4 linked regions of the Mus musculus genome follow. The protein of the gene in region 4 binds, or shares a complex with, the protein of the main gene of each other region. Links are inferred from orthologs where the notes say so. Each region holds a gene or a part of one and is shown on either strand. Other genes may lie near its edges. The genes, in order: Ppfia1, Erc1, Ppfibp1 and Phldb2.

Region 1 (6,101 bases), on a different chromosome or scaffold from region 4:
ATAGAATGAAGTGACAGCCTACAAACCTGAGAACCAAAGCAAGATTCTTCCCATCCCAGACAGAGCCACCTGCACAGCCACACTTGCTCAGCCTGCATGTTCCAGGCAGCCACCCATGGAAGGCAGTTTGCTCGGATGCTGAGCACCCCCACTCCCTCCTCCACGAGAAATGTGCAATGACCCAGGGAACCAGGGCGGTGCTGAGGAAGCTCCTGTCAGCTCTCCAGCCCGTGGTCCTCAGTCTTCCAGGGACTCTTCTGTATAGCCAATGTATCTTGCTTCAAACTTTTGCTCAAGGTGAACCTTTTTATTCTAATTTACTTTATGACGTGCCTTAGTTAGGGTTACTATTGCTGTGGTGACCATGATCAAAAGCAACCTGGGAGGAAAGGGTTTATTTCACTCAGAGTTCCACTTAACAGTTCATGATCAAAAACACTGAGGGAGCCAGGCAGTGGCGCTGCACGCCTTTAATCCCAGCACTTGGGAGGCAGAGGCAGGCGGATTTCTGAGTTTGAAGCCAGCCTGGTCTACAGAGTGAGTTCCAGGACAGCCAAGGCTACACAGAGAAACCCTGTCTCGAAAACAAAAACAAAAACAAAAAAAAGCAGTGAGGGCAGAAACTCATACAGGGTAGGAACCTGGAAGCAGGAGCTGAGACAGAGGCCATGAAGGAACCCTGCTTACTGGCTTGCTCCCATGGTTTACTGAGTCTGCTTTCTTATAGAATCCAGTACTACCAAAATGGGCTGCCCACCCCCACCCTCATTCAATCCTAACTAAGAAAATGCTCTACATGTTTTCCTATGGCTAGATCTTATCGGAACATTTTCTCAACTGAGGCCCCCTGCTTTCTAATGACTCTAGATTGTGTCAAGTTGACATGAAACTAGCCAGCATATGATGCAAATATCTTCAATGTATTTCTCATTTATTTTCTTAAGACTGGGTCTCACTTTGGAGCCTCAGTTGGCCTTGAACTAACATGGTCCTTCTGCCTTAGCTTCCAGAGTGCTGGGATCACAGACATATGTCACCATGCCCAGTACTCACAAAGAAACTAAAAGACATTCTCTAGCACAGAGGCTCTGGAGGCCACACCTTGTAACAGGTATAGTATTCCATTAGCACTAATGGTGAGCTAAGAATAGTCAGTCTAAAAATATGCCCAATCACTTCCAAAGACAGTTCCTGTCAAATGCAGGAAGGCAGAGAGCCACAGAAAATAGTGCAGCAGATTCAACATTCTGACCCCAGATGCTGCTCTGAAAAAGAGGCCATTCCCAAGACTCAGGCAACAGCATGGGACAAATTGACCTTCAGATGTGCAGTTTGTTTCCATTTTTCTCTTTTTTGTTGTTGTTGCTGTTGTTGTTGGAGACAGGATTTCTGTGTAGCCTTGATTGTCCTGGAATTTACTCTACAGACCAGGCTGGCCTCAAATACATACAGATCCTCCTGCCTCTGCTTACTCAGGAGTGCTGGGATTAAAGGTGTGCACCACCACTGCCTGGACACATCTCGTCTTTTTCATATTTTGTTTTTCTTATTAAAAACATTTCTAGGGCTGCGGTGAGCCGAAAGAGATTAAGTGACAGAGACTAAAACATCGAGTGTCCACTCAGTTCAGAACCACTGCTAAAATCATCAATGACTTCCTGACTTCTGACGTCTCTTCAAGCAAGTAACTGTCTCCATCACTGCTGCTGCGGCAGGGAAGAAGGCCCTGCAGCCGGTTCTGCTTCTGTATGTCCTCCTGTCCATGCTGCTATCCTCCAAGAGCAGGCTGAGGGGAGCCTTGGGGCCGCCTACCTTTCCTGTGGGATCAAGACCCTTGAATACCCTCAACCATGCATTTCATACTTATCCCAGAGAGTATGCAGCAGACTCATCACTGTTCTGCATTTGGAAATATGTTGATATTTACACAGGACGCACATAACCAAAGGATAACACACTAATTTCACAGGGAAAGTACCAGTACTGATGACTGTACAGGCAAGCTCTCTATCACTCCTTTCCATCTTCCTCAGGTTAGGCCAGTGCCTCCACCTAAGCCCTCCAGGATTCTTCCTAGTGCTGCTCAGCAGATGCTCCACCCTACTGAAGCTGGAGCACGAGCAGCAGAAGCCAGACCATTGCCCAGGTAGGGAACTCACCTCTTGTCTCATTCTGACTCTCTTCTCTTTTTCTTTCCAGTTCTTTTCGGTCATAATTTAGCCTTCTCAGGCACATAATTCCACACTGGAAACTGTTTCTGTTTACAAAGACACAACAAAAAGATATTATGTGGAGCTAGCAACAGGGCAAGGCTCAGGCAGAGAAAAGCATGGCGAGTGAGCACTTGCCTGTGGAAGCTGTCGACCATCTTCAGCTGCCCTCGCAAGTCTTTCTTGGTCAAGTGGTCCAGCATCCGGGCATCTACAAGGCACTCCATAAAGTAGCTGCGGTACTGCGGCAGGCCCAGGCTGGGCAGCCACTCATTGCCGATCCACTCGTGGTTCATGTCCCCATATGCTAGAGTCTGCTTTTAGTAAGAGGGTGACGTTAGTTATGGACACATTTTCTGAAGACTAAACTAATGACAGCACTGGACTTGGTAACTCTTGGGCAATCAATCTCCCATCCCCATCACTTAAGAGTTAGTGAGACTTCAGACGAAAGGAGTCATTAGAAGTCATAACCTATCTAAACAAGCCACAAGGAAACCACAGCCAACTTGCAGCGCCCCTTCTGAAGAGCTGTTAATATAACAACTAAGAATGACCACGACTCATGAACAAGTTTGAAGGGCAGGTTCAACTTGACTCATTAAAATGATCTCTGACTGGTTTTGACTTCGGTTTTAACACTTTTTCATAAATGTCTATTTAAAAACCAGTAAAAGTTGATTAGAAAAAATTTTAAGAGACAAACCAATAGCTAACAGGATTCAGTGAAGAAAAAGACAAATGCACAACTAGAAACAAGCCATAAATACTCCTTCCATCCAAAGCACAAAGGAGAGGAGTGCTATAAAGCAGCTTTTCCTTGAAAAGACTCAGCACGGTACAGATTGAAGCAACAATTACCAATTAACTTCATCTATTTAGGTTTTCCAGAATTCTCTACCTGACACCAGAAAACTTCCTTTCTTTTCTTGAGAGGGGACAACCATACTGCCCAAGACAGGATGCAAAGCCTCACACTCCATCCCACCAGCCCATGTGGTCCTGGAGGCCACCATCTCAAGGTTGGCACATCATAGTCAACTTTCTGGGCTGCTCAACCTCCCAAGTCGTGGATGATGGTTGCACAGCCCCATAACACATCCAGATGTGTTTGGCGTGGTGTGGTGCAGACTGAACCAGGCCTCATGTACAACTTGGCCACAGAGTGATGACTCCCCAGCTCTCAATATGCTTAGAAGCGACACTGCACAGTATTTTCTGACTCAAAAAAATGAACCAGAATCTGTAATTCCAGTACTTATGAGGCTGAGGTCTGAGGACTGCTGCAAGTTGAAGGTTGACTTGGGATACAGGGCAAGATCCAGTAAAGATAGGTGGAAAAGATGGGAGAAAAAAGAAACCAGCAATTGGCCAAATACAGGGTCACATATCCATAGTTCCTCCAACTATTCAATAGGCCAAGATGGGAAGCTGAAAGTCAGAGACTAGCCTGAGTAACACTGCAAGACTTTGTCTCAAAGGGATAAATAATGGCTAGAAACATCTAAATACCTTCCAAACATTTGTAAACACTTCCAAAATAATAGTGCAAGAATCTATAATGTCATCAAGTCAATCAACAACATACTAAAATACCTGATGCTGAGAGGCTTGTTGTCATGGGAACATAATCTGGGAAATTTTGTATATCAAGAAACTGGAAAAGCATAATACTAAAAAAGACCCAGAAACACCATGTGAAAGGCTCCCCCATTCACTGTGGAGAATTCAGCATTCTGGGAATGGGTGAATCTACCTCCAAGCAGCACAGAGCACCTGCGGAGGGGAAGAACTGAATGCTTACCCACAAGAAGTGCAGCTGTGCCCTCAGTAACTCCCAGCACTGAACCACCAGCACAAGGCAACAAGACACACAAAACCATCGAGCAGGGAAGGAAGTCAGTCAGCCCTGTCATTCACAAAGGACAGGACCAACTGAGACAGGAAGCTGCACAACAGCCCCCAGGCCAAGACCCGGGTGGTGCTAAGCAGTATGAACAGGGACCCATTTCTATAGACTAAGAACCAACTGGAAACCTAGGTTAAAAACATCACTTCTAGTGACTAAACAGGTCTGTCCTGTGGAAATGAGCACACTGCAGGCAAAGAGAGCAGGTGACTTGATGCTGGGAAATAGAAACAGCCTCCCTCCACTGCTCACCTGCTCCAGCCAAGGCACAAAGACACTCTACTAAAAGAACTATTCTATTACTGTCCCTAAGCACTCTAGATCATCACAAGATGTCACTGTCTATCAGCACTGGGACCCTTAGCTATTTTCTGGCCTGGGTCTGCATTCTTGGAAGGGCAGAATGAAGAAGATCCTATAAAGAAAGGGCCAAATGAGGCAGCACTGTCCCATCTGCATGCTTCCCAAGCACACCAATCACTTCTTTGTGGTGGCCGTTGCAGCGAGGGCTCAGTCCAGGGAGCTCTCCTTTTCTCCTAGGATGCTGAGATAACCTAGGAAAGGGAGGCACACAGAGCCAGATGCCCTAGGACAGAGGAAAACGCTGCACAGCACAGATACAATCCAGACTAAGCAAAACTTAGGCTACAAAGTAGGATCATGGCCACACCTCTTATTAATGGTTCCTCAGTGTCCACAGTCTATCCTGTGTGGGAGAGCAGGCTGAAGTCTTTGCCTAACAGCTCAGTTGGGAAGAGAATTGCGAGCGAGTGATACAAGCCCCTTCTTTCACACTCCATTGCAAAGCATGCTGCTCACACTTCCTAGCCTGAGACAAGCATCTATTTCTACAAAGAACTAGAATCACTGTGTGTGGACATGTGAGGTGCCCTGTGATCATCAGAAAGTATCCAGCTGACCATCCTGACTGCCCATTCTGTAAGGAACTGCTAGCTAGGCTGAGTAATGGCAGGGAGAAGCAAAGTAAAGGAAGAGCAGTGGACCAGAGCCTGTATCCTTTCTGCATCACAGTGACATCGATATAGACAGAGGTAGCTGCCTGTGGTGGGGAAAACTAAGAATATTACCTGCCCAGGCCCATAGCTCAACCTCAGCAATAAAGCTGCTAAAATCCAGGGACGGAACAACTGTCATTCACCTGAGCTGCCTGAATGCGAGATGGCAAAGCACTTAGGAAGAGCTCCCTGGGTAGTAAAGAACTGGGGACTGAGAGTGCAAACACAGTGAGAGAGCTCAGTGGGCAGAGGCACTGGCCAGCAAGTCTGAAAACAGAGTTCCTCCCTGGAACCGACATGGGGAAGAGAACTGACACTCCTGCATTGTTCTTTGACCTCACTATGGCATGTGCACACAGACAGATAAACACAAATACCTAAATGTAATAAAAACGTTAGCAGGAAAATGCAAACACCCATGAGACAGGAAGAAGCCTCACCTCTTAGAATTCCCCCAGTGAGATCTTTAAATCTATTCAGTATTAGGGCAGCACTCAGTAAGACATCAACACAGAGACACAGGAAAGGCATAATGTTTCTAAGGTTTGCAAATTTTATTTCTCTACCAGGAGATCTTGAAACCTAAAGTCGTCCCAGCAGGGAATTCTGCACGCACTCTTAAAAGGTGTGGGCTCCTGTGTGAAGGACCCCACATCGACAGAAGCCTGTGCTCATGAAAAGCCACCACAAAGGCTCCTGTGAAAATGTTCAAAGTTGTCCATGAGACGCTGCCAAGCCTGCCCTGGGCTTTAACCACACAGAGCAGACTGGGGTTCTAAGAATATCCAGAAAGACAAGTTCCAAGCTTTACCATCCCAGAAACTTTCTGTTGCCACACAGTGAAGGTAGGTAGGTAGAGAAAGATGCCAACCTGAGCCCAGCTTCCCTCCTCGTCTTCCTGATGTTACATGGTTAGGAATGCAAAAGAACAAACCGTTAGTGTTTGTAAGCTATGGTAAGGCAAGC
Region 2 (6,101 bases), on a different chromosome or scaffold from region 4:
TGAGAGTAAAGCTGAGAAGGTGGGCAGTGGATCACATACTCTAGCAACCCCTGGTCAACAGCAGCTTGGGGCAAGGTGTTGGGAGCAGAGAGCACTGTGGGTGATGCTCAGGAGGAATCAGCCTGGCCCTCCAGGACAGCTTCTGAGGAACAAAACTGCAGGCAGTGACAAGAGGGCCCTACAAATTAAGCCCTCTTCTCTTCAGTCAGACATTTAGCCTACCAATGTAGCATGGGAAGGTCAAAGGACTTAAAGAGCGATCAGGGTGACCACTGTGAACATCCTTCTCCTGTCAACTAAAAGCAGTGCAGGTGAGACAGGCAACAGGCTGAGAGCTAAGCTGCATGAAGCTGGCCTGTACCTGGGGCTCATGATGGTAAACAGGAGGGCAGCGCGGGCGCAGAGAGGAGTATTCGTTCTTCTCTTTGTCCCTGGTCACCTCCTCCCTCCTTCTGTAACCCTCTGAGGAGAAAGCACTCGTGCTAAAGCTTCAGCTCCAAGCTCCCGGAGCACGGAATCTGAGTGGGCTCCAGATGAGCTGAGTGGCTTCTGGCTTCCTGTTTCTGGAAGGGCAGAGTGCAGCTCGCAGCACTCCACTGCTGATGCCAAGGGCAGTTCTTCATGGAGACCAGGGAGACTTGAGCAGGCAACATTCAAAGCAGAAGGCAGAGTACGATGACAGACACCGACGGCCGGACTGGCACATCCAGCTGGCAGAGTCTGGTGTGGTGGCGGCTCAGACACCTGTTCCTCAGGTTCCCTCTCTGGCTCCTTGGTCACCCTCCTTGTCAGGAGCACATCAGGAGGACTCTTCCAGGGCATTGACCACTTGTTCGAGGATGTCAGGGCAGTGATCGGCTATCTGCTGGAGAATGGTGTTGGCAAACTCCTGCAGCTCGGCGTTGTCCCCTTCAACTTTCTCCAACTCGTTCTGAAGCTGAAAGGGAAAAGAGGCAGGGTTCAGGTGGAGTTCAGGTTATTTGTACCGAGTGGGAATTCATCAGGAAAGAAATGACAAGCAGAGTTGATGTCCCTGTATCAAAAGGAATGTTCAAAACACACACATTCCTAGACTCTCTTCATGAAAGTAAGGCCCAGAGGAGTCAGTGCTGAGTCCAAGGCTGCACACTGTAACATCCAGTGCTGACTTCATGTGGATGGCTGTGCCCAGGCGTCCAGACTCACAGGCCTGGGTGATTGAGGATCTCAACTTTGTGTGAAGCTCTTCCACAAAGATTTCCCTTTGCTACAAACAGCTGTGTTTCTGTAGGGGCCTCAGGCAGCTTGGTTATTCTGATAGATATCCTAGCCCACTGCTGAGGAGAGACACACCCCCAATGTGCTGTTCTCAGTTGCCCCGGACTGTCCTCCTCTAACTAGCGTCACCAGTGCCCTGTGTGAGGTCTGAAAGGCCGAGGAGCGAGACCCTGTGCTGAAACTCCTTGTAGGCTGACAGCAGGACAAGAACATCAACATGTAAGTCACAACCCAGTCCAGTGCACACAGAGGCTTGAGGACATACTGGGAGAGAAGACACATGGTTACTTCACTCTGGGCCGTATGAGAAGCCACTAAAGGTGGTGAGGATCTGGGTCACTTGGGAGATCAGAGGCAGATCAAAGGAACCTCGGGTAAGCTGGATCCTACAGTGAGGTGGGGGTGGGGGTGGGGGTATGGAGTTGAAGAGATAGGCAAGGGCCAGACTCCAAGAGAAGCTAGAGCGCAAACCCCAACTGGTGCAAACTACAAGGAAATCATGTGCTTTTAAATGACACACTGGCCCTGCTCTCGTCTTCTTAGAAGGTGACTTGGAAGGTTAGGAAAAAGCAGATCAGTGGGCAGCAGGCAACACCCAGGGGTGAGCTTTGTAAGCACAAGGCAGACTCACACAGGGGACAGAAGAGGCACCCATGAGAACAGAAACCACCTGTGATGGGCTAGCGCGGAATGAGTGGGTAACATGGCTCTCAAATTCTAAAATATTTTGTAGAAGAGCTGCTTCTATTTTGTAGAAGGCAGGGTTCCAGGGGAGGGAGGAGGGAAACTGGAAACTGAGTGTCAAGTGTACAGTTCAGGTCCCAGTTTGGAACACAGCCTGGATCTCAGTGTCAGCTCTGCCATTTATTGGCTGATGTGACCCTGACCTCCCTCCCCTTCAGTAGGATAGACCAGTAATATTTTCACAGGGCAGTTTTATTAGAGGATTTAACGACAATCTCATACGAAAGGCAGGGTAATGCCCACTGCACTGAAAATTCTTGAAAAAAGGTTAACTACTGTAATTACTGTTATCAAGCGGAGAAGATGACCCAGAAAAAGTAGATTAAGTGGCAAAGAGAACCAAGTTTTCAGGACCCCACTGTTTGTTGACTAGACATTCTGAGCCATGAATGAGCTTGGTACTTCTCAAGTGCAGCCATCAGAGGAGACTGGCAATCTTCTTTCTGTTGACTGTTGACCCTGATCTGGAGGCTCAAGAACCATATTTAGACCACGTTAAGCCTTAGTGCATCTTTAAAAGATTCAAGACAGGAGTTAAACTAATCCATTTTCACCTAACAATATACTGTACTTCCAAATCAAATCTCCAAAGCTGGCACATAACTGACCTTGGGAATGGGCTCTAGGGCCTAGTGCATGCTGGGCAAACACTATGGCTGAGCTGCGAACCCAGCATCCACAAGGATATGTTAAAGAAGAAAGTAAAAACACTATAAAACACACTAGCTAGAGGGCACTATATTAGTATCATAGTATCCACTGGATTTTGTATTAGTTCTCCGCCCCCCCCCCCCCCGACAAAATACCTGACACAAACCACTTTAAAGGAGTGACTTATTTCAGCTCATGGTTTTAGAGGGCTTGATCTATAGTCAGGTGCTAAGGGCTTGGCACCAGATGGGAGCATTACTGAGATAGCTGAACCTTTAAGGGGTCCAAAGTTTTAGGCTCCTAGGAGGAGCTGTGCCTTTGCAGGGGACTGTGGGACTTTGGGCTGACCTTTCTTTGTGTGTGTGTGTACTCCAGCCACAACATGAGCACTAGCTGCCCTGCTACAGGTTCAACAGCAATATGGCAACTGCTCGTGAGTGCAATCTCTGAAGCGGAGACCAGCATGCCTCCTTTCTCTGTGAGATGACAGGCTTGTTACGGGGAGGGAGCTGACACACATCCTCTATTTTATGGAATGGCAAACCAACTCCCTTACTGTAAATATTATAGTGAAAAATACTAGGGCTTTTGTGACTGTTTGTTCGGTTTCTATAGTTCATCATAATTTGTAGGTAGCTTGTAACTTCCTCTCTACACATAATTTTCTTTGTATGTGTTAAAATCTTTTCATGCAAAGACACCACAAACATTTCTGAACAGGACAGTTTTACTAACCTGCAAAACTAAGTTTGTTCCCATGAATCAGTCAGACCTTTCTGTAACTTAAGCTTGAAGTTCTTAAATATCCATTCAAAAAATGTCCTTTCAGTTGTGTGGATACTGTAAGATTCCATGGAAAAACTGGTGTGGTGGGACACACCTGGGGTTCCAGCTACTTGGGATGTCGGAGGTTGTATTAGTCAGACCCTGACTAAGACAGAGGATAACTAGAAGTCAAGTCTGTTGTAGAATGTGTGCGTGTGTGTGTGTGTAGGAGAACTGTTTTCTATTAAACCCTAACCTAACTCAGAAACGGAAGGGGAGACTGAAACTGAAGAATGGATATAGAGACATTATCTCCAGCAGAGAAAACAGCGAAGTGTACTCTGCTAAAACAAACCAAGATTTCCCAATGCAGACTGGAGTACAGGAGAGCAGCAAGCCGGACCGCAACCATTCCACACTGCCTAGAGGCAAGGGCATAGTGCCTATGACAGTGTAGTTCTGCTACCAGGTGACGTCACAAACAAAATACCCTTCCTCAAAATGACCCCAGTGTACCCTTTATTCCTTCTTTCTGAACCCTCTGGGCCACCCCCTCAGGTCCCTTTCCTCCATCGTGAAAAGAACCCCTGAAACCACATCTTTTAAAGCTGACTGCAGCTTTTCGTCATCAAACTCTTCAAAAGCGCACTCTCAGCTGGTATGGGGAATGGCACAAATGGTCGTCACCTAACTTGCTTTCTTGGAAGGTTAGTGAAACCTCTACCTAAAAACTATTAAGTATATTTACAGAAGCAAAACATGTCTTAAATGGAAGGATATAACATGTCCAAAAACTAGAGACTTGATACTGTATTAATTCTGCTCAAACTAACTCAGAGAGTCAGTGCAATTCCCCCACTCTGCCCTCCCCCCAAATCTTAGGCAGCTGTGTCTATAAAAAAGTTCAGGGAAAACCCTATACAAACATGACCACTTGCTTTATGACAAAGGCATTTCCTGTGTGGAGGGGAAAGGCTGGATATTCTGATACATGGGGCTATGTGAAAGAAAACTTTTATCCATATTGCAATCATACACAAAATCAGTTCCGGATGGATAGTAAACGTATGTCTGAATAAAAAACCATGAAGATATTTAAAAGAAAACAGAAGAGCTAGCCACAATGCCACATGCCTATAAATTTAGCATTCAGGCTGAGTCAGGAGGATTGAAAGTTTGAAGACAGCCTGGGCTACATAGTGAAAAACCTGTCTCAGAAAACCCAACCAAACAGCAACCAAACACAAAAAAACAGCATGACATCTTTACTGAATGTGAAGGTTAAAACAGGACACTTTGCAAATACAATCAGTCTCATGCTGGTCTTCTCTGTACCCTTCCAACATCAATATATACAATGCCAAAGTTATCATGCATAGATTCCTTAAATAGAACACAAAAGAACACTCACCACGAAAAAAAGAAAAACAGTTAATTTATATTAAAACTAAAGGCCAGATGTGTGTGGATCCAGGCCTGCAATTCTAGCACTCAGAAGGCAGGAAGGTCAAGAGTTCAAAGTCATCATCAGCTAATATGACCAAAGTCAGCCTGCCTGTGTAAGGTCTTATGTCCCAAACTAAAAAAAAGAAAAAGAAAAACAAAAAGAAAAACTAAAACTAAAACAAAGCAAATGAACAAGCAAACAAGAAAACTCAAATGAAACAAAACCAAAGAAAGCTACCCAAAACAAAACTAAGGACTTTCTCTTAGAAGACATTATTAGGAAAGAAAAGCAGCTGATGGGTGGGAGATGTTTGCAATGCACGCATGGGACACAGACTAATAGTATAATACATAAAGAACACCTATAAGCCGGGCGTGGTGGCGTACGCCTTTATTCCTAGCACTCGGGAGGCAGAGGCAGGCGTATTTCTGAGTTCGAGGCCAGCCTGGTCTACACAGTGAGTTCCAGGACAGCCAGGGCTACACAGAGAAACCTTGTCTCGAACCCCCCCCCCAAAAAAAAGAACACCTATAAATCAGTAACAACATCAGAACAACAAACACAAAGGGCCAAGAAACTACAATAGTACTTTATAAAAGACTTCAGTTGTCATTCCGGAAATTCCTGCAGACACCTGCACACCTTATGGACAAGCAAATCCACGGTTATCATTTCTATAAAAATAATGAAATAAGATGATGTACTTGCATGTAACCTGCATTGTTACCTCTAGATTACTCATACTGCCTAATGCCACTGTAAATGCTATGTATGCCGCAGTTGTTACACTGTATCACTTAGTGACAAGGGAATACAGGTCCAGACATAGCCTAACTACAGTACACAGTTGATATTGGAAGTGCTCAACGACAAAGGAAGAAAAAAAAAGAAAGCAAATTGATTTGCTAGGTGACTTACTAAGGACAGGGTCGAGGTGTGACAAAACACTGCTGAGGTGTTGCTATGGTACTTCCTTCCTGGGACAGTCATCGGAGGGTCCGTTCATACTCACTCAGCTGTGGACTTAGGTTTTCTGTGCACGCTAGGCGAAAACTGCCACGGCTAGAACTCCCCTGAGACACTCTACCCTACGCTGCTGACCTCTCCTTCAGAAGCCCTGGCCCTCAAATTCAACAGGCCATAGCCTCTGGTTTCTCTCCTGCGCCACGTTTCCCTCCTCTGCCATGTGCTGCTTGTGATGCTGGAGACAGAGCCTGGGCTTTGGTATGTGCTAGGC
Region 3 (6,101 bases), on a different chromosome or scaffold from region 4:
CTCTCAGGGATGAGCCAAATTTTGCAAAACTATTCAGTCTAAGATCAGTGAAAGCCAGTGGTCCTCACTGGGCCTTTGTGGCATGGGCCTGCCTGCAACTGCAGCTACTCAGTAGCTGAGGCATGAGAGCCACAGGCTTAAATACTGCCTGGGCAGCTTAACAAGAGCATGACTCACAATTAAAAAATAAAATAAAAATAAAAAAATTGAAAAGTGGCAGATTGGGGTGTACCCATCAATTTTAGAGCACTGGATTAATATGGTTAAGAGCCTAGGTTTCATCCCAAGTTGGAGAAGTAGGGAGGGAGGGAGACAGGAAGGGAAGGCAGGTGGTAAAGCTGGGGTTACTTCATTTGCCTGTTCTCCTTAATAGTAGGACTGATGAGTGGAAAAGAATTCACACCCTTGGAGAGAAAGAGTCCACTGATCTTTAGGGGAGAAATGTCATCGTAATCAGTACACAGTCCCCCAGGAGAAGGCTAGGAAGGCAGACAGGGTAAAAACAAAAAGAGCTCAGCATACATTTCTAGGAGAACTCATTAATTGTCTTCATATTAAGGATGTGAAAATAATATACAGATAAGTTGATGTGGGAGTATCTCAAAAGAAGAAAGAGGGAATCTGAATTTGGCACAAGCCTCAAACCTTGGCAAGTAAAAACCACCCACGCTGTAATATATAGCTCAGACCATCTTTGAATTTGCAGTCTTCCTGCCTTAGACTCTTGCATGCTGGATTACAGGCAGGTATCACAACCTCTGGTTTTGACTCTCTTCCTTTTTGAATTAAAGATGGATCTTCATTTAAAATTCTGATCTATTAAATTAGCATTTTCCACCGACCCACAGAGCAACAACCTTCACAATCTCTTGTTCAGGTGTAGCCTTTGTGAGATGTTGGCAGCAGCCCTTGCTGTCTTCTTTGATGCCTGCTTAGCCTTCTTTGCTCCCTTGGCAGCCCTGACAGCCTGCTCTCTCTGAGCATCCTAACTTCTGGTTTCTGATTCTTCTTGGCCTTTACATCCTCAGGTGATGTGCCAACGATGGCCTGCATGAATCTGCATAGCAGATACTTTTCATTTGAATTTTTTCCAATTATCCTCTTTTATGGCTTCTTTTATAGAGGATATACTGGTTTATCTGCAGAGCATTTCTTTTGGAAAGGAATGCTGACTCACATTTTACATTAAGAAACCCGAAAACCTTCCTATGGATCCTGGTGTATTGCTGCCAGTGCCCTGAGTAAATCTTGCACTAGCTGAAACTGCACAGCTCGACCACCATGATGGTAGCTACCCACCGGCTGGAGGAGATTTGGCTCTGTTCTTAAGATTTCTCTGACTTAGAAACCACGGGAGCTAAGGTGTACTCAGGAGCTAAGCCTTCTTGTTGGTCCATTTGCTTGTCAGCAGTCCCGGGGTCAAGCGCAGACCACACGCCTGCAAGGTATATGTTCTCTACTCACTTATTTTCACCCTAACTTCTCCTTTTACCAACGGGAAAAGCAAAAACATTGCAGTGGCAGACTGGACTCACGTCAGAGTCCTCAGCATTGGCAAAATACACTGACAACAGAAGCTGACCACATCTTCTTCGACTCTAATAACACAAATGACTTCAGCAGAAACTTTCAAACATGCAATCCCTTAATTGGGCTTGAAATTTATAGATATGTGTACATACAGATATTTTAAACTCATTAATAAAACTGAGTACATCTTAGAAAGTGGAATAATGGGGCCTTTGCAAACGTCGGACAATGATTAAATGCCAAAATCCTGAACCAACCTTCACTTTGGCAGTGGCTGTTAGCAGTACATAATCCGGTAACTCCATGGCATCTCGCTTCTGGTGCTGGGCCTCTGCACCAATCAGAAGGTTGAAATGGGTCGCCAAATGTCTGCGCAACAAGGTTTTATTTGGTGGAATGTTCAGTAACTGGGCCATAGTTTCTACATTAAAACGAGGCTCAAGAACCTGTAAGAAAAATTGGGATTGGTAAAAAGTATCATAGCTTATACACAGTTGAAATGGAGGTACTTCACACTGCAAAAATCGCTGACATGAGTAATTCCCAATGCCCCAGCCCAGGGTATGGATTTTCTTTTTTCGTTTTTTTAAAAATAATTTTTTTATGTGTAAAAGTGTTTGCCTACGTGTGTGTGTGTGTGTGTGTGTGTGTGTGTACCTTGTGTGTACAGTAGTGCCCATGGAGGCCAGAAGAAGGTCTCGGATGCCATGGAAGAGGAGTTAAAGATTGTTATTGCCACCATGTGGGTACTGAGAACTAAACCCAATTCCTCGAGAGCAACCATGCTTTGGCTGTCTCTCCAGCCTGAACTTTGATTTTTAGTTCACATATCACTGTGCCCGAGAGAGGCATGTGTAACCCAGGCTTCAGGGGATAGCAGCAGCACAGCTCCATTTGGAATGCTGCCTCTGAAAGCAACTGCTCATGGAACACTGGTGTGCAGAAATACTGTCTACACACATGCAGGAGTTTAAGACCAGGATCACATGAGAGACGGCTGGGTGTTACTCAGTGGTGAGGAGCAATAAAAAAGAAATGGGTTTAAGCCTAATTTAAAGAAAGACACTAAAACTGCTCTGCAAGTGAAATCCAGGGAACACCCTGGGACGGTTGGGGTTACCAGGATTATTGAAAACAAATGGATGTACAGTGAGTGTCCTTTGCTGCAATGCTTGGAACCGGTGTTCAGAGTTTGGAATATCAGCATGAAGTGAAATTTAATTTTGGGGGTAGAATCCAAATCCCAACATAGATTCACTTATGTTTCATAGGCACATCATGGTGACTTGATGCAATTCTTCTAGCACACAAAGCTATTCTATCATGGCTGTGTGTAGAATACTCTACTTGTGACATGGAAACAAAAGTTTACAGATTTTAAAGCAATGCAGATTTCAGACCAAGACTGCTCACCCTTTAGACTAAAGGAAACCAACCAACCAAGCAATCAATTTCAAACTGAAAGAGCTTTACCATGAGCCCTCCATGGACACCACTGCCTCTGAGATTGGGGGCATATTCTGCCAAGTCCACAGAGCGAAGCCACTCCATCACACGATGATTGGTCCACTGCTGAACCTCAGATGGGGTGATGCTATTCTGTGGAAACAAACAGATACTGTACACTTTAGGTGTTGATGATAGGACCCTTGATACTGAACCTGCACACGCAGTCTAACAGGCCTGGCCCATGGAGCATACTATCCGGTGTCCTGTGAAGTGTTCAAAGGAAAGGCCAAATAAGTGTTTGCTAATTTGACTGCTCTTTGAAAGAACATGTACCACAGATTCGAGCTTTCTTACGAAGCAGTAAGAAAAGGTAAAGGAAATATTTACAGTGACATTTTACTCCGTGGATTGAGGTGGCAGGAAAAAGTATAGTCTGTGAACAGGAGGAAGCAAGAGTAAGCAGAAAACAACGTTTGGCTTCAATTACACAGTGGAAGCTTTATGGGTACAAAAGGCAGGGACGTAGGAAAGTCCACAAGTCAGTGACTCTGGATCTGAGCTCTGAGGAAACCAGCTCTTTCTACACTTTCCAAGAGAAAATGGCTCCAAGTTTTCCACACATGGACTGCCCCGTTCACATGTGCAAGCTTCTTATCGGAGATGCTACCTCATCAGACGGCCGCCTCCTTAGACAGTTTGGCTCAAAGTTATTGATCCTCAGCACTTGGATGGCCCTTTTGATACTGAGATGGTGCAGCACACTGACAACCTTCAGGGACAGTAGGTCATCCTGCAAAGGAGAAACAGGAGCTCACTGTGCTGGCCCACAGCAGGGGGGAGGGGGCGCCCTGGAGAATCTTACAACTCTGCCATGAGAGTGCAATCACTCTGCTTGTGACTTCAGTTTTCATTTCATAACAGAACTCCTTTTCTGTTCTCAACAAATCCCTCTCTAGAACCTCAAATTTATATTGTTCCCCCAAATCTAACAAGTCTTTATCACTTGTCTAGGTGTTCTGATAGAATAGTATCATCAGGTCCCGCCCCGCCTGAAGGTCAGCGGCCAAGCTGCTTTCCGTGGTTTCAGCACACTTCTGTCAGCTTTCCTGGCCTGCAAAGTCCCCTGATTAGGATTACTGCTTCACCTAGCAGACTTGGTGACCAATGTTGAAAACAATTATGTCCCTCAGTATAAGGGTTTGGGTAATAGTAAAAGAGAGAAGAAATGGAGACTTCTGTTTCAACACATCACCAATAAATGTCTTCAAGGAAACACTGGGCAGTCTGAGGGTACCGGGAGCAATTTCAACCATGCCCCACACACCTAAACAAATATCTCAGCGGTAAGTGATGTCAGGGCAGTGCCGAGAGAAATCTTATCAACACACCCAGAAAATAAGCAGAGGCTGCCCATGCAGGTACATAGCACACTGTGACTGATAACATATTTCTTGGGGAAAAAAATAAATAAAAGAGATTAAGTTTCTATAAAAATATTTTTAAGAGTAAAAAAAATAGTAGTTTATTCTTGGGGCTAACAAGCAAATATTATTTCCTAATTTTTTTGCAGGATTAGCTTATTAAAATTAGCGTCTTACAATACATTAGAAAAAGCAATTAACATTTTGATCTAAGACTGAGATACTCATTCCAAACACTTCAGTATAGGCTACTTTCATTTAATTAAAGTCTATCAGATTAAGAAACATCTAAATGTGTACTGTTTCCAATATAAATAAAATGTTAATTACTTCTGAAATATATTTGAAAGATTTCTTTTTTACAAGGATTACTTTCATTTGAAACCCTTTTTAAGTCTGGGCATTCTGGCGCACGCCTTTAATCCCAGCAATAGGGCAGCAGAGACAGGCAGATCTCTGTGAGTTTGAGGCCAGCCTGGGCTATATAGAGAGTTCCAGGACAGCCAGAGCTACACAGTGAGATCTTATTTTTTAAAAATAGCAAATAAATAAACACATGGTTTATTTTAAAATGATTTTAGACTTAGGGGCTTCTAGACAGTGTAGAATTCTGTGTTTCATAGTTTCTCCTGATATTCACATCTTATGAAACTATGGCACACATCAAAATTAAGAAACACAAATAAAATTAGTATAGACTCTATTCAGCTTTTGCCAATTTTAAGGCTTATTGTTTTCATTAGTTCATGTGTATGGTGTGTGTGGAGGAAAACACACACACACCAAGCTCTGTTCTCCTCTCCTCTTCTTCCTCCTCCTCTTCTTCTTCCTCTCTTCCCCTCTGTCTGTCTGTCTGTCTTCCCCCCATGCACCAAGTTCACACATATGTACAAAGCTCTCTCTCACACAATCACAAACATCAAGCTCTTCTCACTCTCATATACACACACATATCAAGCTCACATGTACACCATTCTCACTCCCCCCCTCACACACACACACACACACACACACACACACACACACACACACACACACAGAGGTCAGGGGACAACTCTGTGGCCCCAGTCCTCACCTTCCACCTTGGCATGGGTCACAGGAATAGAACTCATGCTGTCAAGCTAGCAAGGCAAGCACTTTTATCTGTTTGGCCATCTCACTGGCTCCCAAACTGTTTTTTTACTTCCTGTTTTTTGCCAGTTTCCTACTAAGATCCTTTTTCTGTTCCTGGAGCCAACCCAGGGAACCAGATCCTAACAGGGACTTTCCTTTTAGGAATCACAGGTCACTCTTTCCAGTGTCACTCCATGTCTTTCAGGCATGCAGGTCTTACAAGTGCTTCCTGTGACTTTTGAGTTGAGGTTGCTCACATTCCCTCGGGACATCTGACCCCATGGACGTGGGCAGAAGCAGGTCAAATGTCACTGTATTTGTCCCAGGTGGAATAGTGCGCTATGCAAAGAAGGACCTGGAACCAGCCTAGGTTCAAATTCTCTATGGCTTCCTGCTACTTAGTAACCATGGACAACTGGTTACATTCCCCAACTTCTCAGCTCCTTGTCTCTTAGTCTCAAGAATGGAGATGTAATAGTATTAAAGGGTTACTGAGAATCCATAAATGTGGTTCTTAAAAAAGACAGCGGCTATAAACTATGCCAAGCTCATTATGGTCACTCATGCAAGGTTACATGATGTCCCCGC
Region 4 (6,101 bases):
AAAGTTGAAACACTTTTATGACTTACTCATAAAGTGGGGTTTTTTTTTTTTCAATATAAAAGATGACAAACACACTATTGGTATAAAACTCAAATTCCGCTGCCTGCACTGCAATGAGACCAATTTTGAAGCATTTCAGTTCATGTTTATCAAGGGCAATAAAAAGTGGGTTCTATGTAAATGTCTTCGCAGCAGAGATTTAATGCCACATAAAAGCAGTTTTCAAGCTTAATGCTAACGGGGATATATCTTTTATATTTAAAAAGACAAAATTTTACCATTTTTGAATGAGCTAATTTTTTCCCCTTTAATATACAATGACATCAGCTTCAGCATCCCAATGGCCATGTATTTAAAGCTACTGGGACTGGCGGACATTCAGAACTAAAACCTAGTAGGAGAAGGTCTAGTTGTTGGTTTTGTATCCTTAAAGAGGATTGTGGGACCCTGGTATCTTCCTCTTTCTATCATGTCATGGCCAGGAGGTGGACAGTTTTGCTCCATCATGTGTTCCCTGCCAGGATGCATTGCTCAGAAACATTGGGGCATCTGAATACAAAACTGCAAGCCAGGAAGACCTTGACTCTTTATAAACTGTCTACATTGGACAGTTAGTAAAAGTAATAGAAAGATCATTCAACATGATCACTTGAGATAGGATAAGCCTAATTTTATACAATATGAGCCATTATTAAGGATAAGGGATTTCAAGTATATTCCTAACAATATCATCAAGGCTTCCCAAGAAGTTGACCTTGCTCATGGTTCATAGCATCTCAGCCTTGCAAGCAACAAGGAAAGTCACTACTGGGTCTGTCAGGAGTCTTAGATTTGGAGAATATGGAGGACAGAGAAATCCACCAACACTTCCATATGCTAAAGATGAAACTCAAAGCATATGAGGTTCCTGACGGTTTTCCATTCTTGTGATTGATACAAGACCCATTGTGTAGATAAAGGAAGATCTCTAGGATGAGAGAACCCACAGGAAAGGCTCTTCTAGATTTTCTAATAAATTATCAAAGTTAATTATCTGAGGTCATTAGTAATAGCTGTTTAGCACAGTGTAGGACTGTTTACTGTCCAGAGATAAGATGTCTGTTTGCTAACTGAATTACCTTCTGAATTATGTCAATGGACCAAGCCTAGACACAGTGTTTTTTTTTATAATAATGAATAATGATAACTTATAACAACAAAGGGAATGTAATGCTGGACTGCTAAGTGATATGCACAGTGAATATTTAATTACCTAGGGTAATATTTAATACATACATATTTTTATCCAGTGCTTTTAGTTAGGAATGGGATAAACCAACCAAAACTTTGAGTGATATGTGATTCTTCTTCTCAACTGTCAAACAGATGTTGCATAGTATAGATGGTTTCTATCCATATAATATAAATTTTATTGTACTGTAGGCCCTCATTAATTTTTCCACGATTGAGAAATCTTATTCCAACATACTTTATTTTAAAAAGCAATTAAAATACCTCTGATAATCTTTACACTTTTAGAAAGCAGCTTTGCCACCCTATAGCTTTTCTCATTAAGGAGACCATTAATCACCAGCGAAGAAAAAACAACCTCTGACATGTACTCATTCTGAAATAAAAACCCACTAAAAAGGGAGTGGAAAACTGCCTTTGAATGTTTTCCTTCATCAGCAGGGCTGTTGAGGAATTTATTCTTCCATCATTGTTCTTTTATGTCCAATTAGTTCTTTACGTTAAGCAGAAACTGGTTTTAGACTGGAAAAAAAATAGAATGAACTCAAGGCATTTTGTTTTTGGAGTTTGGTGGTGCTGTGTGAAGTCAGAGGCACAGCTGATGGGAGTTTGGCATTATGTGAACTGTGTGGGGAAAACTGAGTACCACGGAGATTGAGGCAAAGCTTGGCTTTCCAGATGACTTGCTGTACTGACAAATTCTTGCCTTATTATCTCACCGACTGTCTGTCTTAAGTATATACTATCGAACTTAATGATGTAAACAACACCACCACCCCCTCCTGTTCTTAAAAGAAAGCTCATAAGATAGAAGAAATTCAGCAAAATGCACTAGACATTAGCTTTTCCCAGGATTTCTAGTGGTTGTGCAAGCCCTTGGGTACAATCCCCAGCACATGAAAGAAAGGGGGAAAATAATGGTAAGGTAGAGAAGAGAATAGAAAAAGGACTCTAGAACTCTGCAGAACAACTAAATAAACACAAGGCTCTGGCACTAGTGAGCTCTGGAAGTTTCAAAATGCCCAAAAATGTCTGAAAAAAATAGATAAGAAAGAGTTATAGGACAGAGTTATAGGACAGAGAGCAAGAAGTAGGAGGGACTGCGGCTGGTCCAGTGGAAATTCCATCTCTCCATGTGGAATGGACTCCTTGGTGTCTGTCGCCAGCCCTGTGAATGCAAGTCAGGGGAACGGTGAAGTCAAAAGAGTTAGATTACCAGTCGCTCCATCTCCTGCTCCCTGAGTCTCTCCTCCCTCTGTCTTCGGTGATAATCCATCAGGTCGTCGCGTCCCGAGATGGAGCTAATGCTACTTTTCCTTTCTCGAAGGACCGGCTGCGGAGTTTCTGACGACTGTCTTAGGCTTTCCAGATCAGAGTCATCAAGCTCCATTGATCCACAAGAGAAGTTCCTCCTGGCCACAAGCACTCGGTCTGGCTCTCCAGAAATGAAGGAATGACTTGGGCTGGTCCCTGAGTATGAAGCCCTATCAAAGTCATCAGAGGAGGTGGAGGCCAGGAGCATCTTCCGAGCCACACGAGGACTGGCAGGAACACTGAGGGCGGAGCTTACGTAAGGATTTCCCTCTGACAGACAGGTTTTATAGGGTGAAGCCCCTGAGCTTAGAGAAGAAAAGTTAAGGTAATTGTCACTATCCACTAGGCTATGAGGTAGATCCTTTTCTCCTAACTGACCTCTTCTGGAATTGCCCAGGGAACTTCTTGGAGGCAGGCTGAGAGGCGACATCTGGTTGTCTGTGGCTTTATACAACCTGGGAAGCGATCGGCTGTAGGCACCCATATTACTCAGACTGCTCCCTGAGTATTTCCTTGTTCTCACACTGACGTTTTCTGAGGCCGGCTCCTTGTGCCTGCTTAACCTGGGCTGAAGTGTCGAGTGGTCCTGAAGGTTCATCTTCCTGACTTGCTTTGGACTTGAAGGCATGCTCGCTGCCCCAGACCTGCTGATGGGTGACGAGCCAGTGCAGCTCAAGGAATTTCCGTTCCACATGGTCAGGAGCGAGCCAGAGGTTTTTCTTCCTTCCAGCCCCCCTAGAAAGTAGACACTGTCATGAGATTTATTCCTAGAGCTGTATCTGGAATAGGGAGGCTTCTCTGAGAGCCTGGTGGACCTCTCACTGTCTCGACCAGTATAATGATCCAAATCTGCTTTCCCAAGAGGATAGCCGCCAAGAGAGGCTGCAGAACTGAGGAAAGAAATAGGAGGTTTCATGGAAATATTTTTATCAATTCCATCGCAGAACTGTTTGCTTCCCTGGATTTTGGCCAAGGAGGGACTGCTCCTGACGCTGGTGCCCATTGGAGAAGGGCTTCTCTTGGCAGACACCGGTTGGGAGAGGGTTAAATAGGAGCCAGAATAGTCCCCGTTGGCTTTAAACTTCAGACTTGATGAGTATTTCCTCGGGCTTAGGCTCTCCATCATGTTTTGGGGCTCGTTCTCCAGGGAACGTACCACAAATCCTTCCTCTAAGCTACCATTTTGGAATTCCAGCTGCTTTTGCATGTGGCTATCTTCTGCCATAATATGGCTGGATCCTGTAAAGGGGAAAAGGAGAAAGTTTTAGTTTAAACACACGTGAAAGTGTACCAAAAGGTGAAAAATAAGGACTTCTGTTCAGGGATATATTTTACAAATCCCTAGTAAAATAATGACTCAGGATTAGGTTGGTATGTAAGAGAAGAATTTTGCGCCCAGTGTTTCAGTCTCTGGAGAACGACTGTCTTCCTGAATATCTTCTATGTGCCTAAGAGAACCACCAAATTGTTTTTCCTTTAAATGTTTCTGCTAGACTCATCATCAGCTCAGAAACAGTCTTGAAGAAACAATACTCATGTCATGACAGAGGAAGAAAGTTTATGTTATACACTGATCCAGAATGTGAGGGTGTGGTTCTTTTGTAGGGAAGGGATAGAAGTTTACTTCTTAAGTGGACAGCAAAAAGCTCATTAGAAAAAGGTAAGAGATAAGAGACACTGGATCAAAGGGTGTTCCCAAGATTGCTGTCCCATGGTCAAGATGGCACATTTAAAAGCCCTAAATTATTCTATTCTTCAAATTCCTTGGCATCCAAAATGTGTTGTGCTTGTCCTTGGTAGTGAGCTCTCTTTTCTAACAAAAACACCGTGTGCCTTCTGCTCTACCTACCAAAGTCTAACCCATCACTCAAGGGATAAAATAGGACTCTATCTTCCATAAGTATTTTTTTAAAAAAAAAATAAGTATATATTTTTGGGTTTTAGATCTGAGAGTCAACATTGACTTAAAATTTTAATCTATGAAAATTTCGTTGAATTAAAACTAGCCCTGAAAGTGAAAAGGCTTATATTAAAAGAAACTATCTTTATATTATTAACAAGGGAAAAACATAATTTGACTTCAGTAAGTACATGCAGGGCTAAGACTTTCCTCCAGCCCTCGGGGACTTTAGACACTAATGATTGGTGGAAAAGATTATGTGTAGAATTTTTTCTTATATTCATCTCCTTGACTTCCATCGCTCTATAGGAAAACAAACAAACAAACAAACAAACAAACAAACAAAAAACCTTAAAACATTTTTCAATTACACACATCCTCATACCATAGAGGGAAGACTTCATTCTCTTAGCTTAGCATCATGTTTCTCCAGGGAAATTCAGTCTTCTCAGCATGGAAATGCTTCTCCCCTACAGGCAGGAGTCAAGGAAATGTCCCTGCTTTATATCCAGGTGGTGCTAGGAATTGCCCAAGAGAGCTACAGTCTCTCCCCACCCCCATGAAATGCTGCCTTGGATTCATTGTCTTTCAAAGCTCTACTTGAATGTATGTTAAAATGATATATTTCAAAACAATAGCTTAGAAATCCACACAAATCATCAGAGCTAAGCCTAATACTTGGATTTCAGTGAGTTGTGGCCCTGCAGTTCATGGCCTGTGGCCAGTGCTCCTCTACCCCAAGACAATGCCCTCATCAGTTATTTCCAGTTCCAAAGTTGAAAGCCACATCAGTCTCACTTGTGACATTTCTTGCCATGCTTTGTCAGAGTGAAGGTAAGACAACCCTCACTTAGCCTTAGTCTTTTTCTGAACTCATTTTGACCTTGGTGGGTTTGCCATTTTGAAATTTTAATGTCTCGGCCAGTTCTCCCAACATAAATATTTCAGAATTGAGAAAATAAGAAAAGAAATGGGCCCTAAAGAGTTTCAGGGTTATTTATAATATAGAAGAAATAACTTTAAATGCCCAGTGATATGTGGAAAAGCTATGGTTCATCACAGGAGTGAACAGTGTGAAACCATTTAATACCACATTTAAAATATATTTTGTAGTATAATATATTCTCACATACATTAAAAACATTCAATGAGTATAGTTACTTTCATATACACATGCATATATATATATATATATATATATATATATATATATACATACATGTGCATATATATATATGTATACACACACACATTGAGCAGATAATGTGCACAGCCAGTAGTTTTCTTATAGGCACTTAGATCAGGATTTGGAGAGTCATCATGACCTCCTCTGTTGTGTCTATTTCTCTTTCACTGCTTCTATCCACAAGCCTAGTCATCACCATCCTTCATCCATATTTTAAATCTGATGCTTCTTGCTATTTCACTGATGAGTCCCCATAGAACCCAGCATCATTTGTCCCCTTGTGTTTACCTTTCTCCCACAGCAGTAACAATGGGATGAAAAAAATTCACATTAAAAGTTACTACTGATTGTTCCTGGGGTGGTAATATTACTAGTGATTTCATATCAATCTACATTTTTTACATTTTAATTTTCTTATAACAATGTGACATAAAATATTAGACTGTGGTCTCTCTTACACCTTGTTTTTTT

The links.
Region 1: Phldb2 (region 4) and Ppfia1 share a complex: the UniProt entries of both Homo sapiens proteins name them as parts of the cortical microtubule stabilization complex. The link is inferred for Mus musculus from reciprocal best matches to the Homo sapiens genes PHLDB2 and PPFIA1.
Region 2: Phldb2 (region 4) and Erc1 share a complex: the UniProt entries of both Homo sapiens proteins name them as parts of the cortical microtubule stabilization complex. The link is inferred for Mus musculus from reciprocal best matches to the Homo sapiens genes PHLDB2 and ERC1.
Region 3: Phldb2 (region 4) and Ppfibp1 share a complex: the UniProt entries of both Homo sapiens proteins name them as parts of the cortical microtubule stabilization complex. The link is inferred for Mus musculus from reciprocal best matches to the Homo sapiens genes PHLDB2 and PPFIBP1.

Annotation. Positions count from the first base shown.
Region 1 is NC_000073.6:144,482,685-144,488,785, forward strand, and holds part of Ppfia1 (liprin-alpha-1), read right to left. Parts: intron 6,034-6,101; coding exon 6,007-6,033; coding exon of another isoform or gene 5,947-6,006; intron 2,528-5,946; coding exon of another isoform or gene 2,525-2,527; coding exon 2,349-2,524; intron 2,258-2,348; coding exon 2,160-2,257; intron 1-2,159. UniProt on the Homo sapiens protein: May regulate the disassembly of focal adhesions. May localize receptor-like tyrosine phosphatases type 2A at specific sites on the plasma membrane, possibly regulating their interaction with the extracellular environment and their association with substrates.
Region 2 is NC_000072.6:119,574,826-119,580,926, forward strand, and holds part of Erc1 (ELKS/Rab6-interacting/CAST family member 1), read right to left. Parts: intron 938-6,101; coding exon 800-937; 3' UTR 1-799. UniProt on the Homo sapiens protein: Regulatory subunit of the IKK complex. Probably recruits IkappaBalpha/NFKBIA to the complex. May be involved in the organization of the cytomatrix at the nerve terminals active zone (CAZ) which regulates neurotransmitter release.
Region 3 is NC_000072.6:147,023,183-147,029,283, reverse strand, and holds part of Ppfibp1 (liprin-beta-1), read right to left. Parts: intron 3,770-6,101; coding exon 3,647-3,769; intron 3,130-3,646; coding exon 3,004-3,129; intron 1,977-3,003; coding exon 1,788-1,976; intron 1,782-1,787; exon of another isoform or gene 1-1,781. UniProt on the Homo sapiens protein: May regulate the disassembly of focal adhesions. Did not bind receptor-like tyrosine phosphatases type 2A.
Region 4 is NC_000082.6:45,822,313-45,828,413, forward strand, and holds part of Phldb2 (pleckstrin homology-like domain family B member 2), read right to left. Parts: intron 4,915-6,101; exon of another isoform or gene 4,849-4,914; coding exon of another isoform or gene 4,830-4,848; intron 3,784-4,829; coding exon of another isoform or gene 3,770-3,783; coding exon 2,447-3,769; intron 1-2,446. UniProt on the Homo sapiens protein: Seems to be involved in the assembly of the postsynaptic apparatus. May play a role in acetyl-choline receptor (AChR) aggregation in the postsynaptic membrane.